Arabidopsis thaliana: one gene and its partner. The protein of the gene in region 2 interacts with the protein of the main gene of each other region in a pairwise test. Each region holds a gene or a part of one and is shown on either strand. Other genes may lie near its edges. The genes, in order: SNAP33 and EXO70B1.

The links.
Region 1: the proteins of EXO70B1 (region 2) and SNAP33 interact in a two-hybrid assay, tested with the Arabidopsis thaliana proteins (one study listed by BioGRID).

What each region holds. Positions count from the first base shown.
Region 1 is NC_003076.8:24,615,697-24,632,184, reverse strand, and holds SNAP33 (soluble N-ethylmaleimide-sensitive factor adaptor protein 33), read right to left. Parts: upstream 8,938-16,488; 5' UTR 8,662-8,937; exon of another isoform or gene 8,442-8,661; intron 8,238-8,441; 5' UTR 8,159-8,237; coding exon 7,679-8,158; intron 7,546-7,678; coding exon 7,452-7,545; intron 7,360-7,451; coding exon 7,229-7,359; exon of another isoform or gene 7,017-7,228; coding exon 6,819-7,016; 3' UTR 6,554-6,818; downstream 1-6,553. Other genes in the region: AT5G61240 (Leucine-rich repeat (LRR) family protein), read right to left, coding at 227-317, 529-600, 706-777, 857-928, 1,027-1,107, 1,204-1,347, 1,445-1,516, 1,603-1,637 and 4 more; ANK6 (Ankyrin repeat family protein), read right to left, coding at 3,407-3,931; AT5G61220 (LYR family of Fe/S cluster biogenesis protein), read left to right, coding at 5,865-6,128; AT5G61200 (myosin heavy chain-like protein), read right to left, coding at 10,104-10,160, 10,255-10,422, 10,524-11,188, 11,268-11,370, 11,457-11,516, 11,613-11,729; AT5G61190 (putative endonuclease or glycosyl hydrolase with C2H2-type zinc finger domain-containing protein), read right to left, coding at 12,299-12,521, 12,635-13,053, 13,206-13,532, 13,612-13,831, 13,914-14,212, 14,333-14,491, 14,572-14,763, 14,868-15,002 and 3 more. UniProt on the Arabidopsis thaliana protein: t-SNARE involved in diverse vesicle trafficking and membrane fusion processes, including cell plate formation. May function in the secretory pathway.
Region 2 is NC_003076.8:23,608,933-23,625,224, forward strand, and holds EXO70B1 (exocyst subunit exo70 family protein B1), read right to left. Parts: upstream 14,612-16,292; 5' UTR 14,403-14,611; coding exon 12,528-14,402; 3' UTR 12,220-12,527; downstream 1-12,219. Other genes in the region: AT5G58410 (HEAT/U-box domain-containing protein), read left to right, coding at 731-786, 901-1,015, 1,081-1,143, 1,222-1,299, 1,642-1,733, 2,084-2,225, 2,376-2,528, 2,618-3,712 and 6 more; AT5G58412 (Putative membrane lipoprotein), read left to right, coding at 9,177-9,409, 9,516-9,564; AT5G58420 (Ribosomal protein S4 (RPS4A) family protein), read left to right, coding at 10,667-10,669, 10,977-11,054, 11,158-11,436, 11,536-11,964; SNX2a (sorting nexin 2A), read right to left, coding at 15,222-15,308, 15,617-15,703, 15,803-16,063. UniProt on the Arabidopsis thaliana protein: Component of an exocyst subcomplex specifically involved in autophagy-related, Golgi-independent membrane traffic to the vacuole. Regulates autophagosome formation and autophagy-related Golgi-independent import into the vacuole.

The DNA of each region.
Region 1 (16,488 bases), 1.0 Mb from region 2:
TTCCAATCTAAATATATATAATCATTTGATTAAGGAGAAATATAGATTAGTGGAATGTGTCTAACTATACAATATGAAGATAAAAACTTGTAGTCTTATGCTTTCTTTCATTTGCAAATCCACAGACCATACAAAAAATAATAATAGTGAAGAGGGCTAAAGTGGAACAATCTCTAGGTGGTTCTGAGACGTTTTCTCGAGAACCTTCCTGGAATCTTCTATCCGGTCACACGGCAAAATCGGCATCAGAAACTTCTAAAACTTTGTGGGTACCAATTGGGTTCACGCCTGACTTGAACATGTTGCCTTCAATGTACCTGCAAAATAGAAACAGAACTCCTTATCGTCAGAGTGGAGAATGAAGAAAGAAAACATTCAACTTTTCTGAAAAACCAGTCATCATAAACTCATCCAGATGGATTTCACACAAAACAGTTCACATTGTTCAAATTCTTATACTCGATGGGTTTGCTATTTTGTCTGAGTCAAAGCTTTGATGAACTCTTCAAAAATTGGGTGAGAACTCACATTTCTTTGAGGAATGGATGCTTGTAGAATGCGTCTGGGATTCTCCCGGTAAATTGGTTGTGATCAAGGTACCTGGTTTCATCAACATCATGATCCCATTAGAATGCATATTTTCTTTTAGATAGTAAGCAAATCAAAGACAAAGAGAAAGATCAGCGATCTAGCACAAAGACTTACAGGTATGTCAGTTTAGGAATATGAGCAATGGCAAAAGGAATGTTTCCAATAAATTTGTTGTAAGACAGGTAACTGCAAAACCAATCAAACAGACATCAGAGATCTAGTGATATAGTTTATTGCAGAGAGATGGAGAGTGTAGACTGCTTACACAATCTCTAAGTTTGTAAGATTTGACAGCTGAGCAGGAATCCCTCCACTCAAATAGTTATTATTCAAGTACCTAATGAATCGAGATTTTAAAAAGAGAAAACGTAGTACATAAAAGAATATATCAAACGGAAGAGAGAAGCAAATGGAAATTTCTGAAGGGATGCTTACAAGTTGCGAAGAGCTGGGAAACTTCCATCAAAACGGATGAGCTCCCGTATAGTTCCCACCAAATGGTTGTTACCAACATCTCTGAAAAATAATGGGACACAAACCAAACATGATCTCAGTAAATAAATCATTGGAGGGTACCCAAACTATATGTAGAAAACGGCATTTGGTGTTTACAGGTGGCGAAGGTTTTGCAGAGTCCCCAGTTCGGCAGGAATTCTACCAATGAGACGGTTTTCTTGAAGGTATAGATACCGAAGCTCGGGAAGAGCAGCTAGTTCCTTGGGAATTTCTCCCTTGAAGCTATTGAAGCTCAAGTACCTTAAACATAAAAAGAAAAGAAGAAAAAATATCATGATTTCATGTGGATAAAAATGGACGATCATCAGAAGGTAAAAAGAAACATTAAGGTACTCACAAATGGGTTAGTCTCTTCAGCTCCCCAATCTCGGGAGGGATCACATCTTGTAGTTTATTCCACCTCAGGTTTCTAGTGATAACAACAGAGTAAATGTTTAGGTGAAGTATTTGGAAACTTGACATGTTATGATGGCACAAATAACAGACTTCTGTCACGTAAGTGCTAAGTTCACTCTGAAGAGAATTGGATCCTGAGTTTGGTCTCAGAACAACTTATTGAGACAAACTTTGAAAGGAAGTAAATCAATGATTCATATCGTTGTGAGAGCACAAGGAACATACAGTACTTTCAGCCGTTTCAGTCGTCCAATTTGTGGAGGGATTGGACCAGTCAACTTGTTGTTATGTAGATCCCTGAAATATCAAAGAAACCAATACCAGTTTCAATTTAACCATCTTAAAACAGCATAACTCTAAAGAATTATTGGGGATCTCGTTTCACAAACTAGGTTGGAAATATCTGTTCAAAGAGTTCTTGCATCAATCTACCTAATGTCACAAATAAAAAGGTTTAGAAAGTAACTTACAGTCTAGTCAAATCCAGAAGGTTTGTTACTGCAATGGGGAAAGGTCCAACAATCGAAACCGCATAAACTTCTCTGCAAATCAAATTCAGTGAAGCAAATCAGGTTGCTACAAAAGAAAACACTAAAGTGAGAAGAAACCAGAACTTACAATTCTGTGACAACTCTATAGTCTCCTTGTGTAGAACACGTGACACCAGACCAAGGTGGAAGGTCTCCATCTCCACAAGGATCGTCACCAACCCATGAATACACCACTCTCCATCCCAAAGAGGCTTTGATTTCATTCAAAGCTTTCACTGTCCACAAGAGATTAACTTTGAGGAAAGCTGATTATAAAAGATACAGTAGTAACCAACTACCATGATGCAGAGATATAACAAACTTCTTGAGACCAATAGTATCAGATCCAATCATTGTTCACACATAATTAATATTTCTCAATTTGAGCTCAGCTCAGCTCAGATTAGAAATAGATGAAAGAAAAAGGATCGAACTTGCGTGCTAAATCATGGAAATTGATAAGAGATAGAACGAATCTGGATAATGGGTATCTACCAAATCTGTTAAAGAGCTATACAAATTCAATCAATGGAGGATCGATCATAAACACAAAACCAGAGGGTGATTAAAGTAAAAACTTACCATCTCGCTTCAATGTCTTGGAGTGAGCAAAAGCAATTAAGAGAGAGAAGACGCAGATCAGAAGTAGCTCACAGCGAGAAGCCATGGTTTTTGCTTAAACAGCCAAAGTGAGAAAGAGAACAAACGGGATCTAAGAAGAGAGCGAAATTAAAAAACTCATTTTTATTTTCTCTTCCTCCTCCTGAGATTCGTAAACCGAATACCGTGTATTTCAAACCCGCTATCTCACCGACGGGTCTGGTAATGATCCGGATGTTTTCTTTTTGGTTAATGGGTATCGACCAAATCATTCATTGAAGAGATAGAACCAATCTTGTTAATGGGTATCGACCAAATAATTGTCATTTGTGTAAAATTATTGCATTCCTTACCTTAATTAGTTAAACATGTCCTAAGACACAAATGACAATGATTAGAAACATATGGTGCTAACTCAATTAAGAGCAAAACTTTGCTTCATCCTCGCAATCTAGCTATATACATATCCATGTCAATTATGTTAAATCACACTATGTCAATTACCTGCATTAATTTTTAGACTTAATGATTCATAAGAGACCAAAACCGATTATCTCATATTTTTGGTTGATCCAGAACCGGTTAAACAAATCAAATTCGGCTAGGATATCAAACTGGAGTTGCAAAATAACACACTGAAGATTACATGAATGTATCCGCAGTTTCAATGTTTCACATAGCCCATAAGATCAAACACCAACCATAATAGTTCTGATAAGTAGTCTCAACTAGAAAACAAAACAAAACACACCGAGAAACAACCAAGAAGAAGTTCAGTTGTCAGAACTGGAAGATGTGTCTCCACCAGATGAAGAAGAAGACTCGCTGTTAAGCTTCTTCATTTCCTCGTACGCCCATTCAAGGCCGTGACAGTAATGCACCGGCGGATTAAACCTGGTATCAGTTATATCATCTGCCAAGAATGCGCCGTTCTCCACCAGAAACTTCACTGCTTCTCTCTTCCGCTCTTTGGCTGCAGCGTGGAGAGGAGTCCACCCGCATGAGCCCCATGTTTTAGCATCAATGTTGGCCCCACGTTCTAGGAGTAAATCCATGACTTCAATGTGACCTCCCTCTGCTGCAAGGTGAAGTGCACTCACTCCTTTTGATTTGGGTCCCCATGCTAGAGCATTCACATCCATTCCTTGGTCGAGAAGCTGCTTGACAGATTTCAGATCGCCTTTTCTGGCTTTGATATGGAGCGGATTCCAGCCTCTGTCATCGACATTTGATCTGGGAGATCGGCGTCTGAATGAGTTACGCCGGAGGGAGAATGCAGCCGACGGTTCTTGGAGCATTTTGGGTCTGAGCTTCAGCTAAACAAGAACTAGCTTCGAAACTAGGATCCGGATCTGTGTAGGACTACGAGACTCGGGTAGATACTAACCAAACAGGGGTTTCTTATTCTATGCTTTTAGTGTAAATCTCTCAGCCAAGAATGTCTAAAGAAGATACTACTTGATTTGCAACACTATCCAGACTAGACAGCAAAGGAAGCAGACTAATGTAATTAAGTTGAAAGAGAGCAACTCAATTAACGGGAGGCAAAGGAGTGATTGGCGATGCAGTAAGGGAAAGAAGGATTCAAACCAGGGCCGAAGACACTAAGCTTTTGAAGGATCACAGATAAAGCCATAGACAGGGAAGAGAAAATGAGCATCAGTTTGTAAGAAATATAACCCTAATGATTGTGAAGAATCCTAACGGAGCACGACCACATCGAGACTGAGAAACCCCCAAATTTCAGCCTTAGAGAACACTGACCTTACCAAACCTATCAACAAAAGATGGAGAAGAAAACCAAATTAGTGAAAACCAGATGAACACAACAAAAATGCTATAAATTTCTCTGTAATATAAATAACACAACAATCCAGCTCGTGTAGAGTTTCAAAAGTTCATTCAGAATCCAATTACGACACTTGTAGTCTCTAATATTGGCAAATCTACAAACAATACAATAGAATCAGAAAAAATACCCTCACAGAGACAAAATCAATCGAATCAAGGGGGAACTAACGAGTACAAATTTTAATCATCGATCACCAATCAAGTCAGCTACAAATTACACATGAATCAGAACAAATCACAGAAAAACATTGACGAAATAAGAATCCAACGATGAATCCGAAACGAAAAAGAGAAAAATCAATCTCGACACGCAAGGATTTTCACACATACTTATGAACACAAGGAATCGAAAAGTTTGAGAGGCTCGTACCGTAACCCAGCGAGGAGATAGAGATAGAGAAATGGTGAAACCAAGCTCAGAGATAAAAATTTACTTCTCGCCAGAGAGATCGGAGTTTTTTCGCAGTAGGGTTTTCTCGTCGAGATAAGAGAGAATCGAATTCGTGTAGAGAAGGAAGAAGGCGTGACAGAGAATGATAAATATCGGTTTTGTTTACTATTTCTTGTCGAATATGCCAGCTCATACACCTTCATTAAAAAAGGCTGGCTTATCACATATTGGCCCAATTTAACAGGCCTTTGTGTCTAGCCCATTCTAAAACCGGTTCTTTTCTTACTCAATCTAAAATTGATCCGGTTCCCAAATCAGTTTTCCCGGTTTAGTTTTGGGTAAACCTAAAAGTTTATTTATTCCCCCGAACGACCCAGCTTGCTGCTATCAAAACCTTCGAACGGAGAACTTCAACGGCGAGCTCGGGAAATTAATACTCTCCGACGATTTGATTCGGTATGTATATGTATCTGGAGCTCGTTATCGTCAAATTCTATGCTTATCGGATCCTCTCATGATTCAGATGTATTGTCTCTTTTGGCTGTGACTGCAATTTCATCCATTTTACTGAAGTTTAGGATTACTAAGTGCGTTTATGGCCTTTTAAGGTTTCTTCTTGATTGTTTTAAGCGTTTGCGATTAGTTAATATTGGTTCTTTTGCGTATTTTCATGAACTCTAGTGCCTAGTTTCTAATGTTGCAGCAACTGGTTCTCATACCTTATATACACTACTCAAATCAATACTTATCTATATACTAATGTTACTGAATCTAGGTTCTTTTGCTCTATAAATGATGTACTGGTCCTTAATACTTTTCACTTATCTATATAACTTCTTGTTACATGTCGAAGTGTATAGCTTTATCCCTTGATCATCTTGACTACTTCTCTTCCTTTTCGGCATTGCTAATCTCAGCTTCTTTGTGTTCTTATACTGATTGCAGTTAACCAGGCTTTGTATAATTAAGGGTTAGTTTCCAATCTTGCAATGGTGTCTAGTAGTGAAGTTCTTAGCCTATGTCGTGCCTTGCTTCGAGCGGGACGTCAATTCCCTGATTACAACATTAGGGAGTACAGTAAGCGAAGGACCTTGGATGGCTTCCGCATGAACAAGAATCTCACTGACCCATCGAAGGTGACTGAGGCTTATGCTGAAGCTAAAAAACAGCTTTTTGTTGCTGAGAGAGTGCTCAAGGTTTACTTGGCATATCCTCCCAAGACCAAGAACATCATGGAAGTCAAGCTTCAGTAGATGTATGTTTGTCATTACAATATCCTCCAAAGCTATTTGTTTTTAATGGTCATGTTGGAGCCACTTTATATTCATTGATTGTCGAGTTTGTGGCTTGAGAATATGATTCGGGAACAAGTGGTGTTTGTATGAGATTATTATTTCCTCTATTCATAGTTCTTTCCAACTATGTCAGATTGCTTTGTCTAGTTCTCATTAGTAGTCTTTGTGTTTTATGGCTTCAGACATTATACAAGTGAAGAAGAGGACATTGTGGAATATATCCCTTGGATTGTAGCTGAGGAAGACTAAAGGGAATGAAGAGTTCCTGGTTTTTTTGTTCTTTTGAATAATCTCACATGATTGTGCAGTTGTTGCATAACATATGTTCCAACTTGTCTGGAGTTTCTGTATTCTTATGTCGTATTCTAGCACTGATATTTTTAGGTTATAAATCTGAGATTAAAACTCATAATTTCATCTATTATCAGAATTTCTTGAGAAAGCTTTATGATACAGATAAAAACGATACCAAAGTTGCTTCTGTTTGATCAATAAGTTTTTTGGTTTTTTGTCACAAGATCAAATACAAACACAGATAGCAATAATGTATTTAACATGATAAGAATCTTTCCAGTTTTAAAGAACAACTTCATAGAGAATAAAACAAACGAGGAATGAGTGTAATGAACATATAAACCCTCTGTTCATCTACTTTCCAAGCAAACGGCGACCACGTTGGTTTGATTGTTGCACTCTGAAGTTGAGTTCGTCAACATCATCATGAAGATGGTCAAGTCCTTTGTTCTGCTTCTCGATTTCGCTTCCCATGTCAACAGCCATGTTCTTTAGCTCGCCGAGTATATCACTCAAGTCTGAAAGCCCATCGTCTTGCTTAGCTTTTTCCATCTGTAATAAACCAGTATTAAGTTTAGTGGCGTCCAAAACACATGTTTTTCACTCAGATATATATGCTCATCATTGATGAGTCATCAATGTCTCAAATTGTTAGCATTACAGGACCACAGATAAAGAGTTCATGCATCACTCATATCAGATGCAGGAGTATAGTAATGTTCTTATGAAAGGAAAAATTGAAGAGAGGGAAGAGAAGTCCAAACCTCCACTCTCTGATAAGCATCAGCTGATTCGGGGAGTGGTTCTCGGGTTCTTGATTGTCCTCTGGGTGCTGAGTTCAGTCCCAGTTTTTCCCTTTTCTCTAAGTGGTTAACTCTTCTCGTTGGTGAGTCATCTAAGCAAAAACACAAAATAAAGGATTCAGCAATTAGGTGAAAGTAAAATAGCTGCGAGAAGAATTGAGATATCAATGACCAAGAAGCAAACCTCTGGTTACGACGGGACCATTTATAGGACGAGTCTTCTTTGGTTTCCAAGTCTTTGAAAACATGCCTCCAAGGCTTCCAAGAAGTTTCTCACCCTGAAAACCAAAAATCCAACTAGTTTCAGCATCAAATGTCTACCGTCTTCTTATCTCACACCAACTAATGTCCTCAGAAAAAGATTGAATGTTTCCATTTTATAATCAAGAACCAGAAGGAAGAAAAACTCACACGACTGAGATCATGGTCGATTTCAACGGCTTTATGGTGCGTCCTAGTGATTTGCTCGCCCTGATCGTGTAACATGACCAAAGTTCTGGTAGCATCAGACCTTATATCTTCTGCTACCTTCAAACAACCTTGTACAGATTTCGTAGTCTCTTCAGCCTTGTACACAGCATAACCTTCAAGCTCCTGAACCGACTGGTTTTCAATACCACCAGAATCACGGAAATTGTTCTTGTACTGGTATTTGGAGTTCGAAAACAATGACTGTTTGGATGAACTACTATCTCCTTTCTGAACTCTCTCACCACCAAAAGGGTTTGTCATATCAGCCAAAGAGGGTTCAGAGGTAGTCCTCTTAGAAGGGTTAAGGGTATGTTTGTTGTCAGATTCATCATCTGAATCGAAAGGATTTGGCTTGGAAGACTTGAGGTCGACTGAGTTATGCTTGGGAAGATTTGCCGGTGATTTCCTTAAACCAAACATTGTCTCTCAGGATAATATCACAAAGCTTGTTGCTTCAAACAAAAGGAACACTTGGATTGGTTACTACTAATAAACCTTCCTGCAGAAACCAAAACAGTAATCAGGATTGATGCTTTGATTCTAACTTGTAAGCTAAGAGAAAAGTTGATCAAATCAAAGGTATAGATAAAGTAAAGCAACAAGTCAAAAACGTAGCATCGAATGATTTCACTTCTAAGAACAATTTAAACGATAACATAAGACGAGACCAAAAAGTATAAGTTTTAGTTAATCAATTTTAAACCTAATTTTGGGCATAATTGAGTATATGTAGCGGCTAAAGAACCCAAGACTATGAAAACCACACACAAAATTCGCTTAATTATTTCGATAATTCTCTCTGGAACGAAACAATCGCAGAAGAGGAACGGAACAAATCGAAAGCCCAGGATCTAGCAGACGGAAATTGAGAAGAAAGGAACTGAGAATTTTGAAGCAAAAGATAGAGAGCAGATTGTGGTTACCTGGATGAGCGAAGTGGAGTCCGTGAAGAAGAAGATGGAGAAGATGAAGATTAGGTTCTTAATGAATAGAATAGAAGAGGAAGGAGGACCAAATCAATGCGAAGAAGAAGAAGAAAGGAAGAAAGGATCAAAAAGGGAAAAGATTTAACGCGGAGACGACTCAGAACGACCCAAGAATTTGAGAGTACAACAAGGAGGTCTTTGGGTATGTGTTGACGAAAATTTATCAAGGAGATTAAAAAAAAAACAAATTGTAGAAAGGAACGTGGATCAATTAATAAATAAAACAAAATCATTTAATTCAAATCTAAAACGGTCATATATATAATTCTTTTTTTTTCTAGATCAAACTTCTAAAAAAGTAAAAAGTAACTACTTTCTAACGAAAATAGAGCAATTTAGATCTTTTTAATTGTATATAGGACGTAATTGTGGATATAATAAACGTAGTTGGATTTTTTCTTACAGAGAAAGAGTCATTTTCTTATATTTTTCTAATTTCTGCTTCTTTTTTTGTACTGATGGTTTAGTTGATAAATTGTATGAGCCCAAAAAGAATGGGTAAGTTGTCAATTTTGTCATCCAAAAAGAATGGTCTTTGTTGAATTTGTCAAAGAGAACATATTTTCGCCCAAAACCAAAAACTACTTGAAGATAGAAAATTGTTTGACAATATCTATGGATATGATCATGCCTAATTTATCTCATTAATTTTTATTTGTTACCGGTTACATTGATAACGACTACAACAAAATCTTGATGTCCTAGTAGATACGATATTTCAACATATCATTTTGGTGAAGAACAAGTTGGAATATGTTTTTGCTTAAAGTCAAGTTGGATTAGGTTAGACAACAAATCTACAAGTGTCTTGATTAACAATAAAGACAACAGGTTCTTTTCCTTGACCCATTCATTTATCCCTTTGCATCAACAACAAGGTTACTAGACTCTGCACATACATGATGATACAACAACGCTTCCAGATTTCTTTATTTTCACAAGAAAAAGAAGAACAATAAAAGAGAGAAAAACGGGCCATCAAATAAACTCAGCCTTATTGACCTAGGCTCATTACAGGCCTATCAAATAGAGTCAAATAGTAAGAATCTTCTTGGTCAACGACCACAGCTTTCAACATTCTCTAGAGACTCATGTCAATTTCTCAAGATCTCTACATGTTGCTGAAGGCGTAATTAAACACTTAGAAGCCACATGAAGAAGCAGTTTTTTTTTTTGGTAGGCACATGAAGAAGCAGTTTCACTCTTGTAAAACTCAATTTCCATATATAAACATAATCACAGGGATGAAATCTATATTCCAATTTCCAATCAAATTGGATTATGTACACTTTAAATACATAAGAATTCAAACCTTATAGCTTAAAGGCTTATTTGAGGCATTAACTGTGATTTCAAGTTTAACTCGAACCTTAGCTGGTTTATACAGCAGGAAGAGGAACTAAGCAAGTTGAGGACTTGTTCTTCTCTCTCTTGATCTTAACAAGAAAATGGATATTTGTTAGGTTCCTTCAACAATATCTGATGGCTCAAAAAAAATAAAAAAATTGGAAGATATAAAGAAGCAAGTACCTGTGCTTCTAGATTGGCTATTCTTTGTAATGATGCTTGTTCGATGCATGCACGCCGCTTGCATTCTTCCTCCAATAAACATGTCATTTCATATCTTAATTCAGCCATTTCTTGTGTTAAGTCCTCTGCTTCTTCCTTGGCCTTTAGTTTCTCTTCTTTCAACTCATCCTTAGGCATAACAAAATAATGGTTTAACTAGTTAGAATATGTGTGACGCTGCAAAAAGGCACCAAATTTTTGATTCTACTGTTTTGTTTGGTAACTAATACCTTGAGCTGCTTTACAAGATCTTTGTATTGAAGTATCTGTCTTGCCATATCTTCCATTTTGTCTCTCAGTTTCCCATCCTGGAAAACCTCTAATTTCTTGATGATGTCATGGAAACAATCTGGATTTACAGGCGCTTCACTTTCACTTTCCAACCTTCCTCTAAAGCTTTGACGTAAGTCTTTGATATTCCTTTCAGAGGCTACACATCTCTCCATCAGCTCCTTGTTTTGCTTCTCTAAACACTCAGCATTCTCTTCTGCCTCTCGAGAGTTCAACCGTAGCTCCTTGACTATTTCTCTTAACTTATCGTTTTCTTGGATGCTTTCACCTTGAAATTTCTGAGCATCAAAGAGCGCCTGCTCCAACGCTACTATATCAAGTTTTATGCTTTCTATCTCACACTGAGACTCCAATGTTAAGGATGAGACCGACTCCTCCAGCTTCTCAACAGAAAACAAAGAAAACTGTAGCTCAGTTTCTGTGCTCTCCAGTTCTTGCAACAACAATAGCTGCTCAGATTTCGACGAACACAACTCCTCCCTCAAATAGTTAACTTCTTCTTCCAATTTCCCTGATTTAGTTACTCTGACTTCAAGATCGAGTACATGTTCACTCAGGTCGTTCATTTCCTGGCTTCTGAAGTTTACTTGATCCCGCAAATAATCTGAAAGACAAAGAAAGTGTTTTTTAGCTCATATAAAATATATGCCTAGATTTCAGTTTCATGAGAATCTCTCCATTACCAATCTCCTGGTAGCAATTCAACAATTCTTTCTCCAACATCTGAATTCTTCTCTTATCTTCTAAACGAGACTCTGACAACGAATTCGCATTCAGTTCCAACCTCTAGGGTAAAAAAAAAAAAGACAACAAATCTCAGAAAAAGTTTGAACAATCAATTCACTAGTCTAAAACACACAAGAGGAACATACTCTGACAAGTTCAACACTCTGTGACTGAGATTCTCTAAGCATCTCCTTTTCTCTCCGTAGCTACAATTACAATGAAAACATGAGATCATAAAGCCAAAAATATGAACTTCATCAATCTCTGAGACAAAGGATATAGAGAAAGAAAAACAGATTCACCTCCATACATCTTGAACCAATCTGTAAAAGTTCGTCAGCATCAAACGAGTTGTCAACATCGCTTCTTGAACTACTTCCCGAGCTATCTCGCGAGCTACTTCCCCAATTACTCGACATTAAAAAAGACTAACAAATTTACACACAAGAGCTGAAAACTGGACCAAGAATACGAGTCATTAGCGACCAGAGACTATAAGAAAAAGAAAGAAAAACACATTCCGACGAACACAAGCATAGTCGTAGGAAAGCTTTACCTGGCCGGTGAAGAGTAATATTCCGACGACAATACTTGAACTGAATTTTCCAGTTTCCTTTTTATCTGCTTTAATTTAAACAAGAGAAGGAAGATCCGGATGGGTCGGGCCGGGTCGGATAAGTAATCAGGGTGGCCCAGTTGAGCTGTAGTCGTAAAGCAAATAATGCAATTTTTGATGATTACATTACAGACTAAGCCGAAAATTCTGTTGGAAAAACCGGTCGTTATTTCCCAATTTATTGAGAGAACCTATATACTACAATGCCTAAATTCTATTGTTCTTGAATCTTTTTTAAGAGGTAAAGTTTATATATAAGAAACAACAGTAAGAAATAAGCAAAAGCCAATCCAAAATAAAACGTTAATCTGCCATTCAAAAGAAAACATCCATTGTTGACAACTTAAACATGAATTAACAATTCACATTATTTTAATATTTTTTCCCCCAAAGGCGAGTCCAAAAGTTATCAGCTTGGCCCTTAATCTCTTCCCTTTTGGCAGCCTCTCCAGGAAGATCCTTGCGTCCTCCAGACTTGTTTTCGGCTTCCTGTGCTTTTGGTTCGGGTTTATGCTTCTGCTCATCTTCCAAATTCTTGGCCACATTCACGTTTGGTGGCAGTTTTACTCTCTCAGGAATCACATCTAAACATCCTCTGTAACCCAAAATCCAAGCAACCAGTTAGACACACACATATTGATCGAGATTCAAGAGAAAGAGAGAGAGAGAGAGACCATATTATACACTCCCATGAATGTTGGCTCTTACCTCGGTTCATTGGGTATTCTAGACTCTCGATTCTGTTCAGTGAAGACACGGTGCACCAAGTTCTCAGATACGGTGTGTCTCTCCTTCAGTTCCACTTTATCTTCTGGTGCCCCTCGAAACCCAAGATCATCCATCTTTACAAGTGTCTGCTCCTCTGTTGCTTCTTTTTCTTGATCGGTTTCTTCTCGGATTATCCTTGAGTCAATACTGAACTGCTCCAGTGCTTCTCTATGTTTTTCTTGGTTCAATTCCACTTTATCTTCTGGTGCCCCTCGAAACCCATTACCATCCATCTTTACAAGTGTCTGCTCCTTTGTTGCTTCTTTTTCTTGGTCGGTGTCTTCTCGGATTGTCCTTGAGTCAACAATACTGAACTGCTCCAATGCGGAGACATGCTCAAATGCGGAGACAAATGCCTTCTACATCGATATTTTAGTTAAGGTCTAATATATACTTCATCACTTTCGATAGGAATCAAACCTAAGGATATTATTTTTACTAAGATTTGTAATATTCATTACTAAAAGCAGATTCCAAGTTCACGAAAGAAAACCTAAATAGTAAGATTTACCTCTACAAGCTCCTTCGCCATGGTATAATGGTTCTGACTCTTCAGTTGAGAATCAAATGTGGTTTGGTTTTTGCATGATACTTTCTTCGTTTTTTCTCCATAATCTTTAGAAAGCTTGCCTGGTCCAGTAGACATAGTTTCGTTCTTGGCTGATTGTGATTCCAAGTTCTGTCGGTGTTTTTTCCCATATGTGTGACTTGCAAATGCAACCTTGCTGTTGCAGCTGATCTGGCAGACTTGGCACCACACGGGCTGCAAACCCTCTGGTTCCTTCAAAGGATTGGTTGAAACGCTGGACTGAGAACCATTGCTGGCTACAAAGGCGGCCTACATCAAAAATAAGAAGTCAGAAGGGTTTGATATTGATCAAGGATAAAGAGGTAGAACATGAAGTAAGTGTCACTACAGTAGTATGTTTTTGGTTCGGCCAATGAGCTTTGTTATCACAAACAACTGTTGACAAACCCCGGCTATCACAAATCACTACGCAAAGATGACAAAGTTTAGATGCAGCTGGTCTTGCATGGCGTACGGTCACCTCGATTTTCTTCTTCTTTACCTCCCATGAATGCTTAGTTTCTCCTTTGGAAAGGTTTACAGGCTTGACAATGCCATCAAAACATTCACTATGACAAAAGTTGGAGAATACATTTAGATAATTGCATCTTTGACATACTAAGCAAGCAAATCCAAGTTAGCAAAAATTACCTTGCTTCCCTGGGTACTTCAAAATCAGATCTTAGGTCACCAAAGAAAAATTCTCCATTTGGAATCTGTTTGTTAAGAGTCTCCACCCAGTCCTTAGTACTTGGAAGAGGTTCTTTTACACTGCTTTCTAAAGTGCCACAAATCTTTCTCAACTCTTCGTTTTGCTTCTCAAAGAATTTGGTATGCTCTTGAGTGTTTTGAGACTGCGACTGAGGTTCGGCTATTGATTCTATTGGTTGAGCTTTTTCTTGGGCATCTTTCTCTTCAAGCTTACTCGCATTGATGAGTACCTGATGCAACTATATAAGCTTCATTCTTTATATATTTTACCACAGTTAAGACTCTCATATTCAGCATATGTTTTGCTACACTGGAAATTGTAAATTAAAATACCAAATTACCAATATTAAGAAACTGACCTCTGATTGATTCACCATGACAACATGCTTTTCGAAACACTTGCTATTCTCTTGAGCGTTTTGAGACTGCAACTGTGGCTCTACAATTGTTTCTCTTGGTTGTTCTTTTTCTCCGAAACCTTTCTCTTGAAGCTTCTTAGAATCAATGAGTGCCTGATCCTACGGTATTACATAAAGCATATGTCTACCACACTGTAGTTTTTTATATGCTCTCAAATATGCAAAAGTAAGAGACATGCCTTTGATTGATTCAGATTGGCAGCGTGCTTCTGACCCCTTAGATGAGTTTCAAAGACAATTGGACTGTGGCACCCCACATTGCACATACGACAAATGTATTTAGCACTTGCATTACGCAGTGCAGTCATTTCTTTTGGTTGACCCTTTACTTCATCACCTTTCTCTGGAAGCTTCTTAGAATCAACTAGTACCTAATCCAAAGCTATAATATCAGGCATATGTTTTACCAAACTGCCAACTTATCGATGTTAATAAAAATTCCATATAATCGAATAGCCAAAAGTTAGAAACTTGCCTCTAATTGATTCACCATGGGAACCTGCTTCTCTTGAGCCTTTTGAGACTGCAACTGAAGCTCTGCAACTGTTTCACTTGGTTGTTCTTTTTCTCCGACTCCTTTCTCTTGAAGCTTTGTAGAAACAATGAGTGCCTGATCCAATGCTTTTAGGTCAGGCATATGTTTTACCAAGCTGTCAAATTTTCTATTGCTATAAATTAACAAGTTCTCGAATAACCAAAAGTTAGAAACTTGCCTCTGATTGACTCAGCATGTTGGCATGCTTCTTACCGCGCAGATGAGAATTAAAGACAATCTGACTCTGGCACACCACATTGCACATAAGACAAACGAATTCAGCGTTTGCCTGAGCTCTACTCTCAATCATCACCTTCTTATTCATATTATGTTTCTCTAGAACCTCTTTGGAAGGCTCAGCTGGTCCCACCAAAATGTTTTTGGACTTACCTGATTGCAGTTCCAAATTGTTTCGGTGTTTTTTTCCATAGGTGTGATTTTTATATGTATCATTGTTGGTAAAGCTGATCTGGCAAACTTTGCACAACAAAGGTTCGACAAGAACTGCTTGATGTATGGGTTTGGCTGAAACGCTGGCCTGAGCTCTGCGACTTTCTACAATGGCAGCCTGCACAAAGAATTCAAACAATTTTTTTTCTATTCCTTCTAGCTACCATACAATTTCATCTTCAAGAAGAGATAGACCAACAAGCAAGATATTAATTTACCTGAGATATATGCCTTATATCTGAAAGGTGAGCGGTGAACTTTTCAAAGCTATCACATACAACATTGCATATTCTGCAGGTAGTAGCAGATTCCCCTGTGGCTCCACTGCTATGCTGAAGCATATTTTTTCTATTTTCTTGAAGTGATCCTCTTGGAACATGCTTTTCTCTGGTTTTATGATCCTTAGTATCTCCAGCGTTAGAAGTTGAACCAGTTGGTTGGCTAGGCTGAGCTTGTTCAGAAACTGGAAGTTTCGACACACCTTTATTAGAGACACGAAAACCCCCATTGTTAAAGAGTAGAGAGGATTCAACACTTGTAAGAGGAGGACCTCCCGAGGCTAGGACTGTCCAGAGCCAAACATCTCTGGCAGCAGCAACAAGCGGCACAGAGGCTCGTGGAGGTTGAGCCAAAAGAATGTTATACCTCCTCATTCTTAGCTGATGGAGAGCGTTAGAGAAGTCTCTGTCACCAGAGATTAGCAATAAATTCGCTGGCGCAGGGTTGTCTATTGCCCACAACAACATATCCACCAGAATCTTCTTATCGCTCGCATCTTTCACTCCTGTTCCAACCACCAAAACACCACAAACCCAATCATATACTTCCACAATTAGAAAACTACTTAAAAACTGAGATTTATAATCACAGTATCCAAAATCAAAATGGAGAAACCCAATTCAACATACAGAAAGTAAAAACCTAAAATTGCAGATCCAGGACGAATACATAACTAATAACCTAACCAAAATCAAACAAAAAACACACAAAATCAACAAAACAAAATCCCAATCCAAGAAGAACAAAAACCACAAAAGCATCTAAACAACGACGAATCACAAAATGGGTTTTGTGAGAAGTACACCTGCTGGGATGTGATTAAGCGCAACAC
Region 2 (16,292 bases):
TATACGACAGTTCTTCAAGAAAATAATTCTATATTGTTTGTGAACCTTTAATATGGGTTTTTTTTAGAGTTGGTATGTAGAATTGACATTTTCTTTTCTAGCGTTGGTATAATGAGTAATTTTGTTTTTTCGGATCATAAAAGATATTTATGAAATTTGTAAACCTTTTATAGGATAGTGTAGTAGGCTCAACAGATTAGATTATAGAGTTCTTTTGGTATATAGAGACTCTGTAAACCTTTTATATTTGGGAATTTCTCACTTTGTGAAACTTTCATCATGAATAGTACAAATGATGATATATACTACTAAATTCAAAATGTACATAATCGAATTGATGTTATATTTTGACATGATTTCATATTTAAATAAGAAACAGAATTAGTGACTACGGAATAATTCACACCCTCATCCACTCAAATTATTGATATTTGAAAATCTGGGTCTGATAAGGAACAAACTAAAATATAGAGGAACTTTTGTGAATATTTATAAACGCGACCTTCCTCTTAGTTGGGCCATAAATAATTGGGCCTAAATTAAGCAAATCCAATACTAATGGCCCATTATTGGTGGGTAATATCCGACAAATTCTCTTTACCTCTTTCTACGACGGCGACGACTGAATCGCCACCGCCTTCCCGCTCCGACTCTTGACTTCCACCTGTTTACTCCTTTGCTAGACCGATCAGACCCATCTGAAGCTTTTCTGTCTAGAGTAGAGAAGGAGATGGGCAAACCCAAAGGAGATGCTGCAAGAAGCAAAGCACGTCCATCTAGCAGCAGGTCATATTTGTTCCTTTAATCTCTTCTTAACGTTTAATTTCTTCCGACTTTATCTTTTGTTTTTTGAGTCTATGCTTCGTTGGTTCGGTACTGAATTGAGCTTCTTCTGAACAGCTTGGCAGCTTCTCTGTTGCCGTCTGGCTCTGCAGCCGCCGTAGGTTTTGGGGGCTATGTCGGTAGCTCTAGATTCCAAACTTCTCTGTCAAACGAAGACTCTGCTTCCTTCTTGGTATGTTTCTCCCGTCTGCTTACTTGTGTGTTTGCCAATCTCTCATCTTTTTTAATGGATTGTAGGATTTGGATAGTGAGGTTGCCCAACACTTGCAAAGGCTTTCAAGGAAGGATCCTACAACAAAGGTAATGGCTTCTCTGATTATCCAATCGACTACAAGAGCTGTTCTTGATTGTGATTTGTTTGTTTCAACCCTTTTACAGATTAAAGCTCTTGCTTCCCTATCAGAACTGGTTAAGCAGAAGCAAGGGAAGGAACTTTTGCCAATAATCCCACAATGGGTAATGTTTAGACAGAAGAAAAACTGTAGCTTCAGAAGCTGTATTAGATTAGATGTTGAAGATAGGCTAATCAGCATTGGGAATATGACTCTCACCGATAGAATTACCTCTAATTAGATGTTTAGACAGAAGAAAAACTGTAGCTTCAGAAGTTGTATTAGATTAGATGTTGAAGATAGGCTAATCAGCATTGGGAATATGACTCTCACTGATAGAATTACCTCTAATTAGTCTTTGTCTTGCAGAATGTTGATCACTATATTTCCTACGTTTTCAGTGCATTTGGTTGCTCATTTTCCACATATGGTTGACTATATTTTTCATATTTTCTTACTTGTCCAGACATTTGAGTACAAGAAGCTGATACTGGACTACAGTCGAGATGTTCGGCGAGCTACTCATGACGTCATGACTAATGTTGTCACTGGTGCCGGGTTTGACTCTCAATTTTCTAATGCATGCCCTTTTTCTTGCCGTGATGCAGTGCCTCATTTACTTCTTCTTCTTTTAGTATCATTCACCTGGATATATGTAGTTTTCTTGTGTCATGAGTGATATGATTTAGCTTTGAGGTTATCCTAACATCAATATCAAAATTATCATCAATATTTTGTTGGAATGATTCGTTTGCTAAGTGCTGTAGAAGCTTGTCTATATTGAGCGTGTCATGTAGGAACTATGTCTTGATGATATTGTCTTAGCATGTATGCCATACTTCTATTCTATGTTTTCTCCCACTATTATCTGATTCTGTATTAATTCTTTGTTTCTTTGTGTTACTCAGGAGAGATATAGCTCCTCATCTAAAGTCTATAATGGGGCCCTGGTGGTTTTCGCAATTTGATTTGGCATCTGAAGTTTCTCAAGCAGCAAAGTCGTCTTTCCAGGTTGGCTCCTCGTTTGGTAATTCAGTTTTCTTGGTGGAGGTTATTTTACTTTATGTTTGAATGCCCCGCTTTCTATTATAAACTCTATTGTCGTTTTATTAGACCAGTAACCTTTTAGTTCTGCTCAGGGGGCACTTTGTTATAGCATCAATATTCAGAATTTCAATTAGCTGTCTATTGTTTAAACAGGCAGCATTCCCTGCCCAGGAAAAGAGATTGCACGCCTTGAATTTATGTTCAGCTGAGATTTTTGCTTATCTGGAGGAAAATCTCAAACTTACACCTCAAAATTTATCTGATAAATCACTTGCTTCAGATGAATTAGAAGAAATGTACCAGCAGGTACTTCATCTCGGTGATTCTTCTTGCTATGGTGAAGTTTTTCCTTCTTTGGGTTTTCGTTTACCATGTCTTATTTCCATTGTTTTCAGATGATATCGTCATCTCTGGTGGGGTTGGCTACACTTCTAGATATTTTGCTCCGCGAACCCGATAATACTGGCTCTGCAAACATTAATTCTGAATCAAAACTTGCCTCAAAGGCTAGGGCAGTAGCAACCTCCTCAGCTGAGAAGATGTTCTCTTCCCATAAATGCTTTCTGAACTTTCTAAAATCTGAAAGCCCTAGTATTCGGTCAGCGACTTATTCTTTGTTAAGCAGCTTCATTAAAAATGTTCCTGAAGTCTTTGGCGAAGGCGACGTCCGAAGTCTTGCACCAGCTCTGCTTGGTGTTTTTCGAGAAAATAATCCAACCTGCCACTCATCAATGTGGGAGGCTGTCTTGCTGTTCTCTAAAAAATTTCCTCAGAGTTGGGTCTACTTAAATGTTCATAAATCTGTTCTAAATCATTTATGGCAGTTTCTGAGGAACGGGTGCTATGGATCCCCACAGGTTTCTTATCCTGCACTGATATTGTTCCTCGAAGTTATGCCAGCACAATCTGTAGAAAGTGATAAGTTCTTTGTGAATTTTTTCAAAAACTTATTGGCTGGAAGGAGTATGTGTGAATCATCAAGTACGGATCAGTTATCACTTCTTCGGGCAACCACTGAATGTTTCCTCTGGGGATTACGTAATGCTTCAAGGTATTGCGATGTTCCCAATTCTATTCATGATCTCCAGGTTGATCTAATTGATAAAGTCCTAGTGAAGATTCTATGGGCGGACTTCACTGAACTATCTAAGGGCAGCATTCCACCTAATCAGAGGAAGTCAGCTGAAAATCTTGGCATGGGTAATTCAGTTAGTTATCTGCAAGAGCTAGGAAGATGCATCTTAGAAATTCTATCAGGGATTAATTTACTTGAACAGAACCTGCTGTCTTTTTTCTGTAAAGCTGTTCAAGAGAGCTTCTTGAATATGCTTCAGCAGGGAGATTTAGAGATAGTTGCGGGAAGCATGAGAAAAATGATTGATTTTCTCTTGTTATTGGAGAGATATTCAGTTTTGGAAGGTGAGAGCTGGCCCTTGCATCAATTTATGGGGCCACTGCTGTCCAAGGCTTTCCCGTGGATAAGATCATCTGTAAGTTATCGTCCACGTTTTGTTACCCCGTTTTTTCATAGTAGATCATATGATGTTTTTACTTGACTAACCTGTGTGGCTGTATTTATCTTTTCAGGAATTGTTAGATGGTGTGAAGCTTTTGTCAGTTTCAGTATCGGTGTTTGGACCAAGAAAGGTAGTTCCAGTGCTAATTGATGATATAGAGACTTCTACCCTTCTCTCTGTTGAAAAAGAGAAGAATATGAGCCCGGAGAAGCTTATTAAAGTTTTTCAAGAAATTTTTATTCCTTGGTGTATGGATGGATATGACTCTTCGACTGCAGCTAGACAAGATCTCCTATTTTCATTGCTTGATGATGAATGTTTCACTCAGCAGTGGAGTGATGTCATTTCTTATGTATTTAATCAACAACATCAGGGCTTCAATAACCTGGCTGCTATGAAAATGCTTTTAGAGAAGGCAAGGGATGAAATTACAAAAAGAAGTTCTGGACAGGAGTTGAATCAAAGAATAGGTTCTCGGCCAGAACATTGGCACCATACACTCATAGAATCAACTGCTATAAGTCTTGTCCATTCCTCCTCAGCGACTACAACTTCTGCTGTTCAGTTCCTGTGGTAAGTTAGTCAATATATCTATAAATAGTATCAATATTTTGCATTTATATATCTCAGTCAAGTCTTTTATGTTGCTTGATTGCTTGTTCCCAGTTCTTATTCTATATTTTTTTTGTATGCAGTTCAGTTCTGGGTGGTTCAACCCAAGACAGCAGTATTTCTTTTGTGTCAAGAAGCTCGTTGGTCTTGATATATAGAGGGATCCTCGAAAAACTGCTATCTTTTATCAAACAGTCACCATTATGTTCAGTCAATGATACATGTTCGTCTCTTATTGTCGAGGCTATAGCGTTTGATTCGAGCAGTTCTGTAGATGTGATCGTGGTTGCTAAGTTTGCAGCTGAAGTTATTGATGGTAGTTTCTTCAGTTTGAAGTCTCTGAGTCAGGACGCAACCCTACTTACAACTGTATTGTCTTCTATTTTTATCATTGACTTAGAGAATAGAATGACATCACTAGTGGACAATACGCTATCTGAGTCCAAAGAGAAGAGAAAGGATCGGAATTTTGTGTGTGATTATGTTCATGCCGTTTGCTCTAAGATGGATAATCAATTCTGGAAATCTATAAACTATGATGTCCGGAAGAGTTCAGCAAGCACTTTGGCTCAGTTCCTGAGGTCAGTTGTCCTACTTGAGGATGATCTGCAACCTTTTGAACTTACATTATTGTGTGCTTCAAGGATGACCGAAGTGTTAGAATATCTCTCATTGGATCAAAGCGATGAAGAGAATATCTGTGGCCTGCTCCTGCTTGAGAGTGATGCGTGGCCTATTTGGGTCAGCCCCAGCTCGTCAGCTAGCATAGATACCCATGGTATGCCTGTTCAGTTGTGCGAATTGAGGAAATCGAAAAGTCAAAGATATGTTTCTTTCATTGACAGCCTGATCATGAAATTGGGAATTCACCGATTTATTGTTGGCCACAAAGATCATGGGTTTGCCTCTCAAGCTTGGCTTTCCGTAGAAATACTCTGCACGTGGGAGTGGCCAGGGGGTAAAGTTCAGACTTCTTTCCTGCCAAATCTTGTATCATTTTGTAAGGATGAACCATCGAGTGGAGGTTTACTAAATTCCATTTTTGACATTCTACTCAACGGTGCTCTTGTGCATGTAAAGGATGAGGAAGAGGGCTTAGGGAACATGTGGGTTGACTTTAATAATAACATAGTGGACGTCGTTGAACCATTTTTGAGGGCTCTAGTGTCATTCCTTCACATTTTGTTCAAGGAGGACCTTTGGGGAGAAGAAGAAGCCATGGCTGCTTTCAAAATGATCACAGATAAACTCTTCATAGGGGAAGAGACAAGCAAAAACTGTTTGAGAATTATTCCTTACATTATGAGCATAATAATCTCACCATTACGTACAAAAGTAAAATCTGGTGGTTCTGGTAAAGATACTCTGCTACCACTGGAAGTTTTGCTTAGAAATTGGCTGGAGAGGTCTTTGTCGTTTCCTCCTCTGGTGCTCTGGCAAAGTGGGGAAGGTAAAGACCGATTAATTTTTTATTTTTTTTGAAAGTGGTGCTTGTAGTCTCATCTTGAACCTATGAACAATGCTTAGATTTAAATGAGGATTAGGCTCGGGTGTGGATGTAGAACAAGTATATTTACTTATGAAATAACATTGACTTAGTGATAGTCCTGAGTCCTCATCTGAGAAGTGGTCATAGTTGGCATCAGATGGACAGTCTAGGGAGCAATTTAAGACTAAGGTTTTGTTGTTTATCTTTTACTTTGCATGCCTAGCTCATTATTGTTTTCCCCCGTCTTTATCAGATATACAGGATTGGTTTCAGCTTGTTATCTCTTGTTATCCCGTAAGTGATAAAGCTGAAGAAGCAAAGGAACTACAGAGGCATCTGAGCACTGAAGAGAGAACGCTCCTGCTTGACTTGTTCCGCAAACAAAAGCAAGATCCTGGTGCATCAACTGTAGTTACCCAACTTCCAGCTGTGCAAATTCTGCTCGCAAGACTAATTATGATTGCAGTTAGTTACTGTGGAAACGATTTTAACGAGGATGATTGGGATTTTGTCTTTTCTAATCTGAAGCGTCTGATTCAATCTGCAGTAGTTGTGATGGAGGAAACTTCCGAGAACGTCAACGACTTCATTAGTGGTGTTTCTTCCATGGAGAAGGAGAAGGAGAATGATACCCTTGAAGGACTTGGGCATATAGTTTTTATCTCTGATCCTTCTATAAACAGTGCTCAGAATGCTCTCTCAGCATTTTCGTTGCTTAATGCGTTAGTAAACCATAAATCTGTTGAAGGTGAAGACAATCTGAAATCCTTGGCAGATGAAACATGGGATCCTGTTAAAGATCGAATACTTGAAGGTGTTCTGCGTCTTTTCTTCTGCACGGGTCTTACTGAGGCTATTGCTGCTTCATATTCCCCAGAGGCAGCATCTATTGTTGCTTCATTTCGAGTTGATCATCTGCAGTTCTGGGAGCTGGTAGCTCACCTTGTAGTAGACTCTTCTCCACGCGCAAGAGATAGAGCTGTCAGAGCAGTGGAATTCTGGGGACTAAGCAGAGGATCTATAAGCTCTTTGTATGCAATAATGTTCTCTTCCAATCCAATCCCGTCATTGCAACTTGCTGCATACACTGTTTTGTCTACCGAACCTATTTCCAGGCTGGCCATAGTTGCTGATTTGAATGCACCACTGAATGATGAGTCTCTCAATGATCAGGACTCAAGCAATGCTGGTTTACCATCTGAAGACAAGCTACTGCTAAGAGATGAAGTATCTTGTATGGTTGAGAAGTTAGATCATGAACTTCTTGATACGGACTTGACTGCGCCAGAAAGGGTAATTCTTACTTTTCAAAAGCTTTATTTGGTTTATTTTCCCTCTTTGGGCAAGTCATTCACTGTTTAATCACTTTTAATGGCAGGTGCAAACGTTCCTGGCGTGGTCTTTGTTACTCTCCAATGTTAACTCTTTACCTTCACTAACCCAAGGACGAGAGAGACTGGTGCAATATATAGAAAAAACTGCAAATCCGTTGATATTAGATAGTCTTTTTCAGCACATTCCTCTAGAATTATACATGGGACAGAGCTTGAAGAAAAAAGATGGGGATATTCCGTCTGAGTTATCTGTGGTAGCTTCAGCAGCCACTCGTGCGATTATTACGGGTTCGTCCCTGTCAACGGTTGAATCACTTTGGCCTATTGAAACTGGAAAGATGGCTTCGCTTGCTGGGGCGATATATGGTCTGATGTTACGTGTCCTTCCAGCTTATGTTAGAGAATGGTTTAGCGAAATGCGTGACCGTTCTGCATCATCTCTTATTGAAGCATTTACAAGAACGTGGTGCAGCCCATCTCTAATCAAGAACGAACTGTCTCAGGTATGTACAATAAAAAACCTTTTCTCATCTCTGAGAGTTGCAGTGAAGATCCACTAATGCATTTGCAAATATTCTGTTCATTGTTTATGTGAGCCGCAGATAAAGAAGGCAGACTTTAATGATGAGAGCTTTTCAGTCAGCATAAGTAAAGCGGCAAATGAGGTAGTTGCTACATATACGAAGGATGAAACGGGGATGGATCTCGTGATCCGGCTTCCAGTTTCTTACCCACTCAAGCCTGTTGACGTTAATTGCGCAAAAAGTATTGGAATAAGCGAAGCGAAGCAGAGGAAGTGGTTGATGTCTATGCAAATGTTTGTTCGTCATCAGGTACTGTACTTTATGAGTCATATCGATCTTTGTTAACCTGAATGATATCTCCAGTTCCATCATGTAGACCATATATGATTAATCTTGTCCTCTCCATCTAAGCCCAAATTGAGTGCCTGTCTTGATTGAATGTTTTTCTTCTTCTTCTTTTTCTAATGTGTTGTTACTGAAAGCAGAATGGGGCTCTGGCGGAGGCGATAAGGATATGGAAGCGAAATTCGGACAAGGAATTTGAAGGAGTAGAAGACTGCCCGATATGTTACAGTGTGATACACATAGGGAATCACAGCCTTCCAAGGCGAGCTTGCGTGACTTGCAAGTACAAGTTTCACAAAGCATGTTTAGACAAGTGGTTCTACACGTCTAATAAGAAACTCTGCCCCTTGTGCCAATCTCCTTGCTAATACAATAGCTGAGGATATACATTTTTGTGACATTAGTCTGTGAGTTTTGCTTTAACTCTTTAACGTTCTTAGGTTTTACTTTCCAAGAAAATAAAAGGGTTTAGGTGGAACCGCATTGCCATTGATATACATATACCCGTATCATATGTGAAAATTGGAAAAGTAATAAATAGAGAAATTTACTTCGGGTACACACACACATGTAGTAGACCCGGTCGAGAATACAAGCTAATTAATAAGCGAAAGATTTGGGTGACTAATTTTTTTTTTCCTTTAATTATTTTATTTTATGGTCAATGCATATATCTTAACAGACACCAAAACACATAGAAATACATTACCAAAAAAAAGGAATATATTTAAGCTGGGGATTCGCGGAGGTAAATGAGAAAATACAAAAGGAAACATATATTTAAATTTAAGAAAACAACTAAATGTTGTAATAATAAAGGAAACAAATAATTGAAATTAAAAAATAAAGTGCAACGTCCTTCGAAATCGTCCTCACTAAGAAATGATGGGATTTTTGATATATCTTGGAAAGAAATAATCCCAGTTTGTTTCCAAAATGGCGTAAGAAGAATAAGTCAAAGCTATTAATTGCAATTTAAACAAAAAAAACGTTCGTTATTATAACGCAAAGACTAGAAATAAAAAGAATATTTCGAAATATATAAACTCTCCTCCATCGCATTCACATATATCAAAGAACAAACAACGAATATCAATATTACTTTTGAGTTTTGTATCTGTTTGTAAGAGAAAATGGCAGGAAAAATGTGTATGATGGTGATGGTGATGGTGGCATTGATAATGATTGGATGTCCTCTAAAAGCATGTAATGGAATGGCTTCTCATGAAACAATAAAAGAGCATCTGTGGAAATTGTGTTACAAAAATTGCATGATCAAATGCGGTAAAGATAATTACCAGTGTCAGGACCACTGTTTTGCCGTTTGTGATCCCGACCAACGCCCTCCTTCACCACCGTCTCTCAAGTAAGTACTCCATATATATTCCTCTTAAATTATTTCCTTACTTAATATTTGATTAAACATATTATACTGATATATATACGTGGACTTAATTTTTGTTGATACAAAGCAATAAAGGCAAAACAAGGCAAGATCGCTATATGCTCCACAAATTGTAACACCAAATGTGGCAATGACGCAGATTGTATGGAACCTTGTTCGAAGACTTGCTCCACTCCTACTACTCTTTTTTAATTCTCATCCAAACTACTCACTTCTATAGTTATATCATGATATGATCTATGATTTTCATACCAATATCGATGTATTGAGAATGTTATAATTGATTGAAGACTTAGTTATGAATAAAGTTAGACATGGTTCTTGTGCCTGTCAAAAATCAACTAAAACGTTTTTAGATCTTGATGGTTTGATGAAAATAATGATTTGGAAATATGATCACACAAAGATGATATGAAATCATAATTTTAAATTTTACAAATATGATAACTATAAATATTAGATATCAAAACTTAGCTTTACAATTTTGAGTGTTATTTTTTCTTTAAGAAAGACAGGAAGTGGGTTTAACTTTTTGGAAATTATATTGATTTTGTGATTACTATTGTAAATTTATTATATAAAAAAACTAGACACCAATGCTTGAGCGAAACTTTGATGAAACTCTGATTTGTATAATCTTTTAAATTATTAATGTTTGAGTGGATATTGGGTTTACAAATTTGTTAAAAACTTTGGTGAAAGTAGAGAATTAAAATCAATTAAGGGTAACAAATAAAGTTGTTTATATAAAATATAAAATACATGATTATATGTACAATTCATAATATTAGTATATATGATACTAGAAGAAAAAAATTTAAATACGTATGACACCGAGTATAAATATCTAATGCAAAATACAGAAAATAAATAGATACTGACGGATAATTCCGGAACACATGAAGGTTTTAACATTTAACCCATAAATCCCAGAACCCGTTCAGTATTTGAATTTAGTTTTTTTATGGCCACGCTCGTTTCGAGTTTGGGCCTGGCTGGATATTTTTTTACCCACAACAAATCTCTACCCATATATATAAATGGGCCTCTCACTTAATAAGCCCATAATACCCTAACATCATGGAGTTGGAAGAGGGTATATAAATGGCCAATTAGGGTTTTGTACGTGCTCTCACTTTTTCTCTCAAGTGGTTCGGAGCTGTTTCTAAGAAAACAACAGGTAGTTCGGATCGGAGCTACGCTTGCAAAACTCAAAACATGGTTCGTCATCCTCTAATCTCTATCTCTTTCTTCTGAGCTTAGTGATTGTTTACATCTAGATAGTTCCTTAACTCGACTCTCGTTTCTGGTGGGTTTGTGTTAGAGTGACTTAGAGAATGGGTTTTGTTAGCAATTTGATTGATTCGATAACTTGTGAATATTATATGCATCATGGTGATTCTCCTTAGATCTGAGCTCATTAGATCTCAAATGTGTCGCTGATTTAGGTCATGATGATGATATACATAGCAGTAGAGATTTCCTTAATAATAACATCTCTTAACATTTATTTTGTTAAATTTTACAGGCGAGGGGTTTGAAGAAGCATCTGAAGAGGCTTAATGCGCCTAAGCATTGGATGCTTGACAAACTTGGTGGTGCATTTGTATGTCTTTTACTCTCTCTCTTCTTGTCTCAGTTTTGATTCAATTTTATATATATCTCTTGGGTTTGTTTGAATAAGTATGTTCATTTCTGGTTCCACACAGGCCCCAAAGCCGTCTTCTGGACCACATAAGTCAAGGGAGTGCCTTCCCCTCGTCCTTATCATCAGGAACAGGTTGAAGTATGCTCTTACCTACCGTGAAGTGATTTCAATCTTGATGCAAAGGCATATCCAAGTTGATGGGAAAGTCAGGACGGACAAGACCTACCCTGCTGGTTTCATGGATGTTGTGTCTATCCCCAAGACCAATGAGAACTTCCGTCTTCTCTATGATACCAAGGGACGTTTCCGTCTCCACTCCATCAAGGATGAGGAAGCAAAGGTTTGTTCTCCTCTTGTCATTGTTTAGTTGTCTTTTAGAGTGATACTTGACATGATGGGGATATGTTGTGTTCTAACATTATGTCTTCTATTTGTACAGTTCAAACTTTGCAAGGTTCGATCTATCCAGTTTGGACAGAAAGGCATTCCTTACCTGAACACTTACGATGGTCGCACCATCCGTTACCCTGACCCGCTCATCAAGCCTAATGACACCATCAAGCTCGACCTTGAGGCCAACAAGATTGTCGAGTTCATCAAGTTTGATGTTGGCAATGTTGTGATGGTTACAGGAGGTAGAAACAGAGGGCGTGTTGGTGTGATTAAAAACCGTGAGAAGCATAAGGGAAGCTTTGAGACAATCCACATCCAAGATTCAACAGGACATGAGTTTGCAACAAGGTTGGGTAATGTGTACACCATTGGCAAAGGAACAAAGCCATGGGTGTCTCTTCCCAAGGGCAAAGGTATCAAGCTGACTATCATCGAGGAGGCCAGGAAGAGGCTTGCTAGTCAACAGGCTGCTTAATTTTGTGATTTTCAGTTCTTTGTTATGCTTCTTTAGACGTTTCATATTTCCTAGACTCACTTCGTTTCTTTTGGTACTCTGCTCAGTTTTGAAACTTCTCTTATATTATTTATTTCAAGAGTTAAAAACATCAAATATCCATTGTGTCCTCTCTTGTTTTTTACTATCTTCAAGAGTTGGTACTAGTTGGTTATGGTTACTTGGTGATAGTTACACAATTATTGAGAATCAGTAAAATAATGAAAAATCTTGTGTTGACTCCTTTGTTAAAAGGGAAGACTTAGATGTAAGAACATATTGATAAAATATGCACTCAAGACTTAGAAGTAGATCCAAGTCCCTAACATGTCATCTTTTTCAACTGTTTTCTCTTTTTACAATGACAAAAAAAGTGATCCAGTTACAATACAACATTACACAACAACACAACAGAGCTGAGCTAACTGTCTAAAAGGATACACAATACATGTTACAAATCCTCCCTGCAAGACTTCGCTATTGGTCATTTAGCAGGTGGTTCGTTACGAAGATGTTACAAGAGGCTATTTTTGTGTTCGTTACCTTCATTTTCTTCCCGTGGTAGTCCCTTTGAACAGCTCGTTAATACGCGCCTCTATGTCCTCAACTCCATACTTGATGTACTTGTCTGCGTTTTTCCCTATGTCTCCAAGGTTTTGGAACCTGCCGATGAAGCTCCCGTATGCCGGTACCAAAAGCCTGGCCAGTGAGATCTTTAGCTCTTCTTTCAGCTGCTCGTCAAACACTACCCACGTCGAATGCACTTTACATATCTCATCAAACTGAATATTGAACTGCTTCAGCTTCTCCTTCATGGTCTTCCCCAAACCGTTCATGCCTGCTGCAGTATTATCCACCTTCAGCAACCCCAGCATCTTATTCCATGAGCTTCTCTGATAATTCATATGGTATTGTTTCACTTTGACATTGTGTTTCCGAATCCAATCATCTCCTAACAGCAATCCTAGGTCTCCATCTTTGACTTTCTGAACAATGTATCTCCCATTATTCATCAGAAACACATAGCACAAAGCTGGATCTTTGTACACTTTAGATTTTACTTCCAAGTTACTCTCTAGAAGCTCCATGATCCAAGACATCTGTACAGTCAACAGAGTTGAATCTTTAGAAGGGACACCATTGCTTTCCTCAAACACTTGCTCTAAGGTTTGCCGGGATCTACAAGCCGCACGGAGGTAATTCATCACATAACGAGTGATCGGGTGGAGACCACCGCCCGGAACCGCAGCTTTAGCCGGGTCTCGCCGGATCAAATTCTCAAGCTCCATAAATATACCTCTTATCGCCTCTCCCAACCGTTTCCAAATAGTTACTGCTTCATTTCTAAGAACTGAGCAAAACTGATCCGAGAACACAGACTCAAATTCAGGCATCAAATCCCTCATTGTCTCAAACACATCAAGCACTTTAAACAATCTCTCAGGCGATCTGCTTCCAATAGCAATCGCGTCTGCGAAATTCAGAAGCTGAATGGTAGAGCCACGACAAACCTCCATAAACGAAAGATCAGCAGCAGAGGAGAAACCGAAGAAGACACGGTCACAGAGTCTACGTTCGCTAGGAAACAGGATTCTTAGAGCAACGTTAGCAGCTTTGATCCACCTATCTATCTCATCTTCTAACTCCTGCCACGGCATCTTATGAACTTCTTCAATACTCAGCTTCTGTAACCCTAACCTTGACATACTTTCTTCCAGAAACTCTCTCCTACAAGAACTATAAACATGAGAACACGCCTTACCAAATCCAGCGCCAAGCATTCGCTTAGCCATCTCGTGTAGATCGTTAATTGTCGCCGAAGGGAGAGCATCAATGATAAGATCGTAGTCAGTGAGTGGCTGTGCCACTGGGATCTGAATATCATCACCGTTGTTGAAGTCTCTGTCATCATCTTCTTCTTCCTCAGAATCGAAACGATGATTCATCGCACCAGCGTCTCCCTGAGGATTAAGTCCGAAAGACTCAGCTCCACGCTCCATAAGCGACCTGAACTCTTCTTCGATGCGGAACATAGCTTGCTGCATCATATCGTCGGCGCGTGTTAGACAGATGCCGATAGGTTTCTCTGAAGCCATGGGACTCCACTCTCTAATGATTGCAACGAGCTCATCGATTGTGTCGAGGAAAGCAGCTGAATCTGCAGGATCAGCCCAAATTGGTTGGTCCGCAGCAACAAAGCGAGAGATCTGACCGTCTATTGAATTTAGAGCTCGCTCGAGTGTGGCGACTCCGGATCCATCTTCTCCAGCTTGACCTTCGGCGAGCTTCTCGCGAGAAAATCTGCCGTCGAAGTTGGAGAAGATCTGTAAGATATCATCGGCCATGGATTCATTGTGGCCAAGTGTTTTGGCTATGTGACGCGCAACAGCAAGTAACTTCTCTTCACCATTCTCCGCCATGATTGAAACAGATGTGGAACCAGTGTATAGAAGATTTTATGTAATCTCGAGTCACTAAATAAAAAGGTCACACAGCGAGATCGACGGGGAAAGAAGCAAGGAAGGGAATCGAAGACGAAGAAAGTTCCAAGCAAGGAAGAAGACTGGATGGATAGAAAAAACTTGTCGAAATGACGAAACTACCCCTTAAGACAGACGCGATCTTTGACCTGGCCGCGTTGTTTGAAAATGGCATGGGCGTGTAATATTGCGATAATTTCTGCTGTCTTTTTGTGAAATCTTTCCCTTTCGCGAATATTGACGTCTCCGTGACTTTTCTGTCATTGCCTCATTGGTCTCGCTTTAGGAGATAAACCGGCCGGTTTACGAGTAAGATTGGTGGCTCGATGGTTCATTTTCTCTCTCGGTCAACTCACTAAAACGAACTGGTTGTTACTTACCAGGAAACAATGGGTATGAGGGCAATGCAGACGCAGTCAGAACTCAGAACTGCTTCTAGAAAACTTATATACAACAACTAAAGAAAACAAAGAACGTTTACCAAACTATCAGATATATCTTTGGCGGCATATACCAGAAAACAATGGGTATGAGTCAATGCAGCTGTAGTCAGAGATGCTTCTAGAAAACTAATTTACAGCAACTAAAGAAAACAAACAAGAACGTTTACCAATCTCTATCAAGATAGATACAACATATGAAAAAGGAAACTACACTTTTTGACAAACCATTATTACGCAATGTGATTCTGTGCCATACATGGATTTGGTATGGTTATGCCAAAATGAACATCGTTCACTCTCTTTTTTTCTGTGTTTGTTAGCTGCTCTGCTTCTCTCTATCGTATTGGCTGGTCTCTTCTGCAACCTTTGCCCAGACGTTTCCCATTTTCTCTGCGTATCCAACCTGCGTCCAATTCAAGAACACAACTCTTTCTTTAAAACTCTGGACTCTTTGATTACTAGCAAATTTATATATTCCTATCCTCTCTTCTACCGCATTATCTTTAAAAGAACTCATTTTCATTTGCCTACAAGAGACCCATGAATGCCATCTTTTTATTCTACTTCTCCACTCTTGAAATCTCACTAAGAATGAAATCACACACTTTGTGCTTAAACTAAACAATCTCCTTATCACATTCTTCACTCTATTGGGCAATTAAGAAAGGCATCATCCTTCTAATGTTAATGTGCTGCATAATAATAACGTACCTGGTTAACAACAAAACCCTTCATCATGTTCATGAAGTCTGCACGCCTTTCTCTGTCCAACCTCTCAACCTCAGATCGGTTGTTTTCCTGCAATGATACAAATTTACACAGAGCATAACCAAAATATTCATATCATGTTGGTAAAACAGCACAAGTTGTGATATGCATAGGGTTATTACTAAATACCTTGATTCGCTCATACCCTTTGATGGCAACATTTTTTGCATCCTCAGTGACCTTGATTGTTTCTTTTAACTCTTCTATTTTTCGGATCCTTGATTTGTCACCACCAAATACCTTCGATGATGCAGCCTCTAGCTTCTCAACTCTAGTTTGCAGAGAAGGAAGCTCTGATAGAAGCGTCTGAACTGTCAGTAAAGCACTAGATCTATCTGCAAATGCGCCTTGGACAGCCATCATCATGCCAAGGTACTCATGGAGTGTGTCCTGAAATGAACAATTAAAATAAAAGAACAGCTCTTAGTGAAGCTCAAATTCCAGCAGCATCTCCAACATAAGCTGACAATCTGCCAAGTGTCCACTAGTTAATAATGAAGATACTTGCTACGCATGGCGAGATTTCCGAAATCCTAATGTCAATCGCTTAAATCGAAATGATCATTTTTTTCAGATGAAGAAAAGAAAATAACATTTCATTTGATTCCAAGTAAGGGAG